Coturnix japonica: one gene and its partners. The protein of the gene in region 3 binds, or shares a complex with, the protein of the main gene of each other region. Links are inferred from orthologs where the notes say so. Each region holds a gene or a part of one and is shown on either strand. Other genes may lie near its edges.

Region 1 (4,536 bases), on a different chromosome or scaffold from region 3:
GTTATGCAAGGTGGCTGAGTAATGAATTCCAGGTAAGCAAGGTCACTCCTAATGTCCGAAAGGAAAATGCTAATCACAGCTGTAAGGAGTGTGAGAGGATTGAGGTTTTTCTTGTATGACAATTTGTCAGTAATTAGTATGAAGTCATGTGGGGAAACTCACCCTTCATGTACATGGTGTGCTGCAGAGAAATTCACATTTCCTAAAATGAAACCTTGATCAGGGGAAACATTTCTAATCTATACATGTAACTGAGTGGTTACTCTTTACCCTTCATTCACTTGTATGATCTAATTTCTCATTGCAATCACTCAGTATAATGGAAGGGTCTTTCACTATCTCTCCTGCTCTCATGATCCAGGTTGGTCTTTTGGCAGATTTTTTAAGGCACTTTTTTCCACCTTTCTTGGAAAATGACTCCTCTGTAACTCCCAAGTTCTTGAAGTTGGGACAAGTTTCTGTACAAGTTTCAATTCACTGATTGTGCAGAGGTAGAACATCATGACAGGTGGTTTAGTGGCTTTGTTCCATAAGCCTGGAAATAATAATTTAGCCCATCTTCTCAAGTAGAATACTGCTGTGAAAGAAAGCATGTTGTTTTGCTTCTCACAAAGCAGTAAGTGTGGGGGAATGCATTGCTTGGCCTACTCAAGATACCCGATAACTGAGCAAAACAGTTCAGAGTGTGAAATGAAGGCAATGCTTTCTGTTGCTTATCTTCTGTCTTGTTTATTAAATAATGAGCCCTTTAGGGTCAGAACTCTCTTCTTATAGGAACACACAAAACCTAACACCTAAGTGCTCATTTTGGTTTGTGCTTCTGGTGGCTATTTTCCAAAATGGGCTTGTGGCAGAGAGGATAAAAGGCGACTAGACATGCATGCTGACTGGGCCACTGTTAAACAAATCCACAGTAAATCACCTTAAGGCAGCTGGTACTCGTACAAAAACCAGGAGACTATGTGCAGTTTCATATGCAGCTCTTCCCTGTGTGCCAGCAATGCATCCTTTCCTGATCAGGGCTGCAGGAAACCATCCCCTACACAGCTGCTCCTGTCACTGCCCTGGTGCTGCAGTGAATCTGTTGCTGCCTCATCAACAGCGTTCAGCCTGTGATGGCACAGACACTTGGGAATCTTGGGGACAGGTTTATTGTTTTTGTCTGTTATAGATACAGATCATGGATACATTTTCTAAAGCTCATATTGCATCTATCATTTCCCTCCATAATCTCCATTAAAGCCCACGGCACTGAACACAGTGACTATGGGCACATCCGAGAGTCCTGCAAGTCGCTGCAAGGGCTTTTCAGCCGTCTGTTCTGTGCGCTCACGGCAGGGCGCAATGCACGGCTTCCTGAGGTGAGCGACACTGATTAAATCGTCTTCAGCCATTGTTCTCATTGATACCAGAAACCTTAATCGGGACTGCAATTCCACCGAGCATCTCAAGCAGCACCAGCCGCCCAGCAGCGCCTCCTCCTCGCCCGTTCTCGATCACAGCCCGATGCCGGATGATCCCACGGCGGCTGCGCGAGTGCAGCCAATAGCCGCGGCGGCCCCAGCGGCGCTGCCGAGCCGATAAAAGGCGGTGGAGGGGCCGCCGTGTTCGTACGGCTGTGCTGGGACTCGTGCGTCGATGCTGGTGTTGAGCGCCGCCCGCCGCCTGCTGCGCCCGCCCGGGGAGCTGCTGCCGTCGGGGCTCTCCTGCATGCGGGCGGCCGGAGCCCGCGGCTGCAGCTCGGATGGAGCGGGTCCGCGCAACCCGCTGGTGTACCTGGACGTGGGCGCCGACAACCAGCCGCTGGGGCGCGTCGTGCTGGAGGTAGGTAGGGCAGGGAAAGCGGTGGAGGGCCGGCATGGCGGGCCGCAAGGTCACGGGAGGGCGGGGAGGTGATGGGAGCTGGGAGTACAGGGAGGAGCTGAGTGGCGGTTTGCAATCAGGGTGGGCAGCTGCTCCGGGCTCCGCTTTCACTCGGGAGCGCCCGTCTGTCGCCACCGAGGCGGATCGCGATGCCCGCCCCGTGTCTCTGCTGCCGCTTCACACCGGTCATTGCGCTGGGTTCTCCGTGTGGTTCCGCCCCGTCTCGGTTCTCCCTGTTAAGCCAGCGGCCGGCATCCGCTTGACGTGCTGCAGCGGGCAACTGCTGCATAGCAGAGTGAAGAGGCTGCGTGCCCGAGGACGATCCAGGGGCACAACCGGCCTTGGCCGTGCAGTGAGCGTGGGGTGGCTTTGCCCCCTGTGTCCTTATGTACTTACACATGTCTGTGTGGTTCATAAGGATATTTCCAAAATGATTTTATGTTCGGCTGGAGCTTCTTCATCCTGGGAAATGTCGGTATATATGTTAATTGCACTCTTACATTTGGGATGGTCAGAGGTTAAAGTCCTGCTGGGCAAGTTGCTTCTGTAACGTTCAGTGAATGTCTAGGTGATATTACATGCCCTGAATGCCATCTTTATCTGATGTTGCTTTTTCTAGATGGCGTATAGTGCTTGTCTTTAGGATTAGTGAAAAGCAGTGTAGCAGTCACAATCAGAAGTTCCTGCTTGTGGTGGCTGTGGATATGATGACATGAGTCAGTTTTGATACACAGTTTCTGTTCTTCTTTTTTCCTTTCTGTAAGGTTTCACAGATTGCCCTGTGCTAGTGAGAGCTTATTGCTCTGGTTATACTAGTGGGGCTTTTGTCCCTGCTGTCTGTCATAGGTTCCCCCTGATGTTTCAGTGTTTTCAGGGCTGTGTTCAGATATTGCTTAGATCAGTTATCATTAACTTGACCAAATCTGCAGAAGAAAGGATGCTGTTCACTAGTGACCATTACTTGCCCACACTGGGCAAACATTAGATTTTTGGGTGGCTTGTGATTTCCAACAGCTCATTTTTGGGTAAAAGGGTTTAGATGAACCAGCCTGTCACACAGAGGTTTTTCTGTGTATATCTAGACAAGCCAGCTAATTTCTGTTTTATTTTTCTCTTACAGCTGAAAGCCGATGTTGTTCCAAAGACAGCAGGTAAGGCAGCACCTTGTGATTTTCATACTTGAAGTGGGAAGAAGAATAATGTTCTGTGCTTCATGGAAACCATTTCCATCATCCTTTTCCAGCTGTTAAATAGAAAAATATGCACTGAACTTTATCAGGTGGTGCTGTGAGTGGGGTTATAGTCTACTGCTATTTCAAATGGTCTTTCTGCAATTACAAAATCAAACAGTACACTCCATGTTAGGCCAACACTGGTAAGTAAATAAGTTTCGAGACAAATTGCTTCCCATTGAAAATTAAACCACAAAAGAAATAGGAAAGGCAAGTGTAGGAGATGGTATCCCTTGCATTTGGATTCTCAGGCAGCATACGTGAGTTTGTCTTCCTTGCCACTAACTGGCTGTAGAATGGCTTGGGTTGAAAGCAGCCTCAGGGATCATCAAATTCCAACCCCCCACCACAGGCAGGGTTGCCAACTGCTGGGTCAACTATCCACGTGTGCTAGATCAGTGTGTCCATGTTGCAAAGTTTGTGTGCTTTTCCAGGTGCTTCCTGCCTTGTCTGCTTATTTCATGGTTCTAAAAAATGTGTGTTCTTTCAGTTCCCCATGGGTGAATTGTTGAAGGAAAGGTGTCATCTGCACAATTAATGTAGAGAGCAAAGGCATAAGATGCAAAAAATGAAACCTTTAATTTCACAGTGATGGGGCTTAGGACTATGATTAAGATACAGCAGTAAATAAAAGAGCAGTGTGGGGAGAGGGCATGTTTGTACTGTGCTCTGAGGCAGACTTCAGGCTTTGTATCTGTAGCTATAGAGCAGAGGATTTGAGGATGAAAGCGGTCATTTCAATAATACTGTCTTTTTTGGTTCATGAACTTTGGCCTAGTTAACTGTGTTTGAGTCTATGATATATCATGTATGGGGAAGATAATGTTTTATGTTTTGTTTTTCTAGAGAACTTTAGAGCACTTTGTACTGGTGAAAAAGGATTTGGTTATAAAGGATCCACCTTTCACAGAGTTATTCCTTCATTTATGTGCCAGGTAATGTTTACCATTTGGTTTTACTTCTGCTAATGTTGTCTGTATGCTCTTGATGTAGTTTTAGAACCAGTGATACCAGTAGTAACATTTTAAGTGCCTCTGCTCTCACTTTTGCTTCCTGCATTTCTGATCTTGCTGTGGCAGCTGCTTGGCGCGTTTTGTACAAATAGATGCAAATTCTGTATAGATTAGTTTTAAAAGAGAAAAAGCAACTTTGGCATAAGGCTCTGTGCTTTTATAGGAGTGTACTGAAGGTGGGGCACACTTGGTGACTGGCACTTGTTTGGGTGAACTGTTTATGGGTAGAATGACAAGCAGTCTTACCTCTGAAGCCAGCTCAGAAAATAGTGTGTCTAATTTCAGTGGCTTAATTTGTTCAGCAAACATTGTGATTCTGGGGAAAAAATAGGGAGGGGATGATGGAGTGGAAAGCGTTGGGATAAATTTGGGAGGGTAGCACACCTAGAGTAGGTGGCTTTGATTTAAAGGAGGCCTTTCAAAATTCT
Region 2 (3,222 bases), on a different chromosome or scaffold from region 3:
CGTTGTGTGTTGTTGGGTGGTAAGAGAATTCTTTGGGCTGCTGCTGCCCAGGGCGTGCTGGTTATTTTATAGCGCTTGAATTTAATCTTACTGTGTTCTGTGGTCTTGGAGCTGTAAACACAACAGCAACTTATAGTGCAAATACACTGTCAAGAAAAACAGGTTCATGTGATGATAGCGGTGGTCCAAAGCTGATTAATCAGCCACAGGGGAACTCTGGCATTTAAAATCTGACTGTAAAGCGCTCCCAGTGTCTGCTGGTTACCCAGTTGCTGGGCACATCGGGAGCAACTGAATCTTCTGGTGCTGCTGCTCAGTTCGTGCACTTGCTCCAAGCACAAAGCGCTGCTCTGTGTGCGTGTGTGCGTGCGTGATCTCTTTCTCTGCTGTGGTTTGCCAGCGTGTTGCAGCTACCAGTCAGGCCGTTAGAGAAACTGCTCTGATACTAATCGAAAGAGATGTGTTATTCAGATTGGCACGCCTAGGAGTTTGCCTGCCTGAAGCCCTTCTCTGTAAGGAAGGGCCCCCCTTTGGCACCCCAGGGTGTGTTCTGTCCCATGCACGTCCCCTCAAAGAGCCCTGACACAGGGGAGAGGTGGAGGGGTGGAAATGACAAGAATGACAGCTTCTTGGCCTACCACCAGCAGCAAATTCACTCTGAATGACCTATTGTATAAGCTGAACTGTTGTTAATTACTCTCCACAAAATGTGGCTGCATTTATAATGGGTGAGAGAATTGGGTCTTATTTTTCTGTAGACATCCTGTATGTTTGTTAGGTAGTCCCCGTGATTTTGGAACGTGGTTAAGTAAACTTCAACTGGCTTACATCCTCCAAAGCCACTCTTAAGTCCCAAGATTTCACTGGCCTGCTGTTCAGGGTAACTTCCTTCTTAATTCTTCTTCTAAAAGTGAGGAAAGCTTCTCTGCAGCTGTGAAGGCAGAGCCTTCAGTATGGGAATGGCAACTGCAGTTTGTGCCTGTGTAGGTTAGTGAGCAAGCCCCACTGCTTTTAACAAACATTCCTGGGAGGGCGGACCTCTTTGTGTTCTCTGCTGCTGTAGCTGAGAGCTCTTTTGTTCTCCAAACTGATGGAGCTGCTCTGTTTTGCAGGTTTCCATAGCCCCTCGAACAAATGCAGCTCTTGGATTTGCTCAGATCCTTCCAAGAGAGCAATACCTCTTCACCAGGGAGCAGCTGCTAGAGAGGATGTGCATGGCACTTGGAGGGAGAGTGTCTGAAGCCATCACATTTAACAAAGTCACCACAGGTGAGAGGACAGACCCTGACACGAGCAAGGGGAGGTCGTACTAAGAGTCTGAACTTTCATACTTGTTGCTCTGTCCAAGAGTAATGTGAAATGGGGGTTTCCCATCATTGGGAATGGGAAGGAGAAATTTCACAGTGCTTGTTTTAATCTCGGACTTGGGACTGTGAGCGTGAAGGCCTCTTATTGTGGATTCCAACTGTGTAGTCTCAGACTTGTCCCAAAGCCTGAGGCTACAGATGCAATTACACAGTGAGACTCTTGGCAGGTGGAAGAGCCTGGAGATTTCTGTGCCTTAGTTCCAACCATTTATAGCTAAACAGGATAAGAGTGGAGCAGTGGCAGGTAAGCAGTCCATATGAGCTAGCTACCAGTATATCACTCATTGTCCTGCAATGCACACAGTGAGGTAAAGTGCTCACATTCATGGATTCCTGCAGGTCCTCTAATCTCTTGACTGGTGGATTGTGTGTCTGTGCTGGACATACTCCTCTTGCTCTCATCTCAGACCTGCTGTACCTTCCTTCTGTCTGTCTCGCCCAGGAGCGCAGGATGACCTGAAGAGGGTGACCAAGATAGCCTACTCCATGGTGAAGCAGTATGGGATGGTGCCCAGCATCGGGCAGATCTCCTTTCCGGATGGGGACAGCACTGTTGGAATTGGCCGTCGCCCTTTCAGCCAGAGCCTTCAGCAGATGATGGACCACGTAAGGCTGCTCCTGGTCACCTGTTCCTCTTTGTTCTTTACTTTCTGTCCTCATTGAAAATTGCATGGAACTTGTACCCAAATGCTTTGCATTTTCTTTTTTGTTCAGCCATTAAGTAGTAAAATTCAACAACTGAGCACTGAGATACTCTGTTAGCCTGGTACTGTTCTGTGTATGAGGACTGCTCAGCGAGGCATTAAGAACAAAGTCACACACAGCTGTGAGTTCAGCCCAGCAGCACTGCGCTGCCTGGAGCTGCCGTGAGTGGTTGTGAAATACAGTCTGTTCTATCCATTGCAGTGTGAAAGCTGCAGTCTTGATTCTTTTGTGGACAAGACCCTGGAGAGCTTGTGGGAGGTATAGATGTGACTTGGAAAGGGGGAGAAATGCTCTGCAGAGTGGGGAGAAAGAATAACTTGAAGGAGATGGAGCTGGGGGGGGAGCATTGTTATGGAACTGAGGACAGATAACCAGGGAAGGAAAGGTTCTGCTGTGTGGAGGTCTCTCCTCCTTTTTTGTCCACTTGCAATACAAATCTCTCTTCTTATCTTCTAGGAAGCAAAAGTGCTGGTGGCTCAGGCCTACAGACGCACGGAAAAACTCCTATTGGACAACCGAGATAAGTTGCAAACGGTAAGCTGAAGTTAGGTGGAGTTCCTTCAACTGTTGGTTTTGGCCTTGATACTTTCTGTGCTCTGTAGCTTGGTTGTAGCAGTGTCTCTGTGGTCCTAGAATGCCTTGTAATGGGGATTCCAGGGCTTGTTTTGGGACTGCTGAATTGGTAGACTGGTGCTTTCCAGGTACCTCCAGGCAATTTTCACCTGCCAGCTCCTTGATACTCAATATATGAAGGAGGCCTTATTGCAGAAGTAGAGCTTTGTCTCCTCTGCTTTGTGCCTGGGGAGTCCCCTGGCCACTCAGCTCCCTTCCAGGATCTCTTTTTAAACAACAGCAGAAAAACAGCCACTTCCACCTACCCACCAGCAGGCTTCCTTGTGCATAGTAAGGTGTCCTGAACTTGTTTGCTTCGGCACCCTGCTGTTGCCCATATCACAGTTCTGTCCCCAGGGCAGTGCCCCAGCAGTGCTCTGAAGGCAGGCATTGTTGGGGGCTGTCCTCTCTGCAGGCCTCCTCTGTTCTGATGCTTTCATTTAACAACAATCAGATGTTTGCTAGAGGCTCATCACAGGAAAAACTTTTAAGTTAAGCCAAAATATCTACAGAGCGTTGCATTTGCCAGGTCAGTGTG
Region 3 (4,039 bases):
TTCAAGTTTATTAGGAAAAATGTGACTAGAGTAACATTAAATCCAGCCTTTTTGTTTTCTTAACCTCAAATCTGATAGACTCCCATTGTCCTGTTGGAAGCTTAATCATCCATTGGTTATATTCTTAATTTTTTTTGAGAGCTCCTCCCCTCGTTTAAGTGTCATGTAGTTGATCAGTCTGTGTAGGGAAGCATCAAGTAAGAGAGTAACCCATCACAGAGACAGACTCACATTTACAAAGGACTCCCTGATGGCTTTTGCTGTCTGCTGGGGCCAAGTTTGCTTTCATCCCCAGACCCACCCTGCAGAGTGAAACTGCCATCTGTGACACTGGGAAATATTTCAGTGCCTTCTGCTGGGCTGCCTTGTGTTCAGAGAAATCTTGGCTGGGGCTGTGGGTGCCTCAGTCACGACTCGCATGGCAGTGTTACCCATTCAAGAACATGGAAATATTTTACTACTTAAACATGTAGTACGTGACCTCCCTGGTCTGCTTTGTGCTGGAGCTGGTATATGTGGTCACTCTGAGATGCTTGCACAATTGGAGAAGGATGAGAGCAATGATTTCATTTCACTCCTACCCTAATCTGAGTTAATGTGCTGAGATCCTACTGGTGAAAAGCAAGGGCACTTGGCCACGGCCATGCCTTGATCCTTTAAGAGTTTGAATCCCCGCTAAGCATGCTTGTCTTCCAACCTGCACTCACACAGGATGTAATCAGTTTTGTTTTCCATCTGTTAAACAAGAGGCTTTGATTAGCCCATGCAAACAGAAATAATTATTTTTCTTCTTGCTGATGATGACAACAGCAGAGTTAACCAGCACGTGCATATTTCATCACCTTTCCCACACTCGCAATTGCAAGCACCTTGTTCTGTGTGTTTTACCTGATTTGCCTTACAACAGGGATTTGGCTTCCAGTATTGTCCCTTAATTATAGTAATTGCCTAAGTGGAGATCTCAGCATCTCCTGCTGTCCCGTGGCAGCCCTGTCTGTGCTGCAGCCTGACCTGGCCTGTCCACCTGGCAAATACAAACGCTCTGCTCAGCCCAACCCAAACTCACAAGGCTTCCAATTTTCGAGGAAATAGTTTGATTTTTATGGAGTGACTCAAAGGGGCTGCTGGTAAAATATGTCTGATAGATGCCAATGTGCAGCTGGAGGAGCAGTGTGGTCTGATTGTCCAATGGAGAGATTGTAGCATTCTGAATTTTTGATGATGCTAAATGGAAATACCCATCAGAGGGTTCTCCTGAGACCGGGCTGCTCTGGCTGGGAAGATGCATTCCTCAGCCTTAGTGACCCATCCCTCCATATCCTGTGCTGGGGGCCCTATTAATTCCACTGAGCTCTGCCCCAGGCTGTGATCTCCAGCTCGTGGTGCTGTGCTCTTGGGGACCTCAGTTGAGGAGCAGAGGATCTCCTCAGAGATGTTTTTAAGTACTTGGTTTGTTCATTGGTGGATTTCTAAAGGATGGTTTTGTGTTTCCAGAATCACACCTGATCCGCTGTTGAGATGGTTTGTCCTGTAGAGAGCAGTGCTTGCAAACTTTAAATCCCAGCATTCACAATTCTGTAAGAAATGGAGACATTTAGGCCTGATGTGATCCAAAGATCAGTGATGCAGTGGCACAGCTGGCTGGGGGTTGGGAGGTGGGAGTCCCCAACCCTGGTGGTGTTCCAGAGCTGTGGGGATGTGGCACTGGGGGACACAGTGGGGTGGGGTTGGACTCAGTCACCTTGGAAGTCCTTTCCAACCTTAATGATTCTGTGATTCCACGCAGGTAATGTCCCCAGCTGAAGCTGCACTGCAGCGTGCACTTTGCTTTCAGTGCGTTCTGTGAACATCGTTGGCTTTGATTCAGCCACCAGATCCAGTTTGTTCCCTCCAGGATAGGGATTCCTCGCTTATGCAATAGCAATATCCTGCTTCAACAGGCAACGGCTTGTTGGGCCAAGCAGCTGCCCAAAGGAATGCCTATCTGCAGCTCGTGGGGTGGTACCTGCCCAAAGAGGCTGCAGGCTGTGGCAAGGCTGCGTCCCTGGTGCTCACAGCCGGCTGCTCTGCTTGTGGCTGAAGGGAAGAGCTTGCTGCTTAGGTTGGCTGGAGCTGTGCTGCAGTGAGAGCCAGCTCTACATGTGTGGTTCATCTTCACATTTATAAAATGAAGTCTTGCATAAAAAGGCAGGAGGTGGACATCTTATCACTTCACTTTGCATCCCTAGAACAAATGAATATGGGTTTGGATGGTTTGTTCCTCTCAGGATCACGTGTAGCATCCATTCAGTCCTCGTTCTTCTCAACAAGTTTGTTTTTTCCCTAGAAAAGCACCTCCAGGTCAATGGCTAAAGAGAAATTGTATCTGTTCACAGCAATTCTGGAGTCAAAGAAAATGGAAGGTGAAGGATGCCCGTTTGTTGAGTTTGCTAACATCAATGTTAGCCATTTGCTGCTGTCAGTTAGGGACGGGTGGGAGCTGCAGCTGCTGGATGTCTGTGCTGGTTACATTCGCTGAGCAGATGACCTTGGGGTTCTAATTCCTTGCATCAGAATGCATAGATCGGTTGCAAGAAATGGGAGAAATGTTTCCTAGAAGTTGATTAAAAAGTTATTCATTCATGTGGTTCTAGTGATAAGGGCACAGCTGGTAACCCTTTGGAAAGGCATGGGCAACTTATGTGGGTTTTGGGGGTTCTTTTTAATGTATTTGTTCTGTAGTGTTTAGTGTTTCTCATCCTCAGTGGTAAATGCGTGTTTATCACATAGCAAAAGGACAAACTCAAACCTCAGCATTTGCTGTAGCTGCTTTCTTCAGCCTGTACTTAATTGATGGGTTTAGATAGAAAATAAAACCATCTGAAACTGAGGAATTTGGTTTAATTGCTTTTTGCTTAATCAAATTAAATAAACAGCTTTCTGAACATAGTAACTGTGCCCTCTTTTTTTCCTTCCCCCCCAGAAAATGGCTGTTCCACCTGCTTATGCTGATCTGGGCAAGTCTGCCAGAGATGTGTTCACCAAAGGATATGGTAAATAAAGCCAAATTAAGTTTCACCTTTCTCTGATTCTTGAAACTGTTACGATTTTGTTACTTTTCTCTGATAAATATTCCACTAATTTCCATTAGAATCCAAGGGTTCCCATATCCTACCTTCACATTGCCATGGCTGCCTGCAAAGGGAGGTGACTTATTCTTGCTGGCACAAAGATCTTCGTGTTCCCCGTAGGTCTGTTGTCTGCTTTGAAAGCAAACAGAGTGTTGTATTTTGGCTGCTTCCATCCATCGTGAATAGGACTATTGATGTCAGTAATTTCCTAGGGAAAAAGCTGCTGCTCACTATGAATGAAGGCATTCTTACCTAGGCTGCTCCTGGTGCTGTGGCAGGGCAGCAGGATCACTGCAGGCAGTGCTGTCTGAAGGCAGTGTGAGCTGTGTAAGCTGCTGCTTTACAACTTGGGATTCAGCACCCGTGTTGTGCTTTTTGTTATGTTTTATTTTGTTTTAATAGTTGGCAGCAGATTTAGAAAGGAGCTTTGAGGAGTAAATCAGGCGTGCTTTTCAAATTAACCTATATATAATTCATGTTTTCTTTCATCTTCTAGGTTTTGGGTTAATAAAACTAGATTTGAAAACAAAATCTGAGAATGGACTGGTAAGTGTGGGCAGGGACTGAAATCCCAAACACGGCAGTGTTCCTATGTCTGCCCTGTATTCCTTTTTAAAAATAGAAGTGTGTCTTCCTTGATCTCCCCATATCAGCTTTCAGTTATACTATAGCCCTGCAGGCTGCCATGCCTTTATGGTGCAGCTCTGCGCAGGATTTGGAGCAGGCTCTGCAGGGATGTGCTGTGTGTTCTTCTGAGCACCTTTGAGAAAGATGCAGATCTTATTGTCCCAAATTACAACAAATAATAATTCTATGAAGATCAGTCATCACATGAGTACAAGCAACAGAGTGATACATATCATTTTCTTTTTCCTCTTCAGGAATTTACAAGCTCAGGTTCAGCAAACTCGGAAACAAGCAAAGTCAGT

Evidence for each region.
Region 1: VDAC1 (region 3) and PPIF share a complex: the UniProt entries of both Homo sapiens proteins name them as parts of the mitochondrial permeability transition pore complex. The link is inferred for Coturnix japonica from reciprocal best matches to the Homo sapiens genes VDAC1 and PPIF.
Region 2: VDAC1 (region 3) and SPG7 share a complex: the UniProt entries of both Homo sapiens proteins name them as parts of the mitochondrial permeability transition pore complex. The link is inferred for Coturnix japonica from reciprocal best matches to the Homo sapiens genes VDAC1 and SPG7.

The regions. Positions count from the first base shown.
Region 1 is NC_029521.1:10,018,350-10,022,885, reverse strand, and holds the start of PPIF (peptidyl-prolyl cis-trans isomerase F, mitochondrial), read left to right. Parts: upstream 1-1,581; 5' UTR 1,582-1,638; coding exon 1,639-1,824; intron 1,825-2,983; coding exon 2,984-3,014; intron 3,015-3,941; coding exon 3,942-4,030; intron 4,031-4,536. UniProt on the Homo sapiens protein: PPIase that catalyzes the cis-trans isomerization of proline imidic peptide bonds in oligopeptides and may therefore assist protein folding. Involved in regulation of the mitochondrial permeability transition pore (mPTP).
Region 2 is NC_029526.1:16,691,189-16,694,410, forward strand, and holds part of SPG7 (paraplegin), read left to right. Parts: intron 1-1,112; coding exon 1,113-1,269; intron 1,270-1,809; coding exon 1,810-1,973; intron 1,974-2,528; coding exon 2,529-2,606; intron 2,607-3,222. UniProt on the Homo sapiens protein: Catalytic component of the m-AAA protease, a protease that plays a key role in proteostasis of inner mitochondrial membrane proteins, and which is essential for axonal and neuron development.
Region 3 is NC_029528.1:2,137,082-2,141,120, reverse strand, and holds part of VDAC1 (voltage-dependent anion-selective channel protein 1), read left to right. Parts: intron 1-2,962; 5' UTR 2,963-2,965; coding exon 2,966-3,032; intron 3,033-3,606; coding exon 3,607-3,656; intron 3,657-3,991; coding exon 3,992-4,039. UniProt on the Homo sapiens protein: Non-selective voltage-gated ion channel that mediates the transport of anions and cations through the mitochondrion outer membrane and plasma membrane.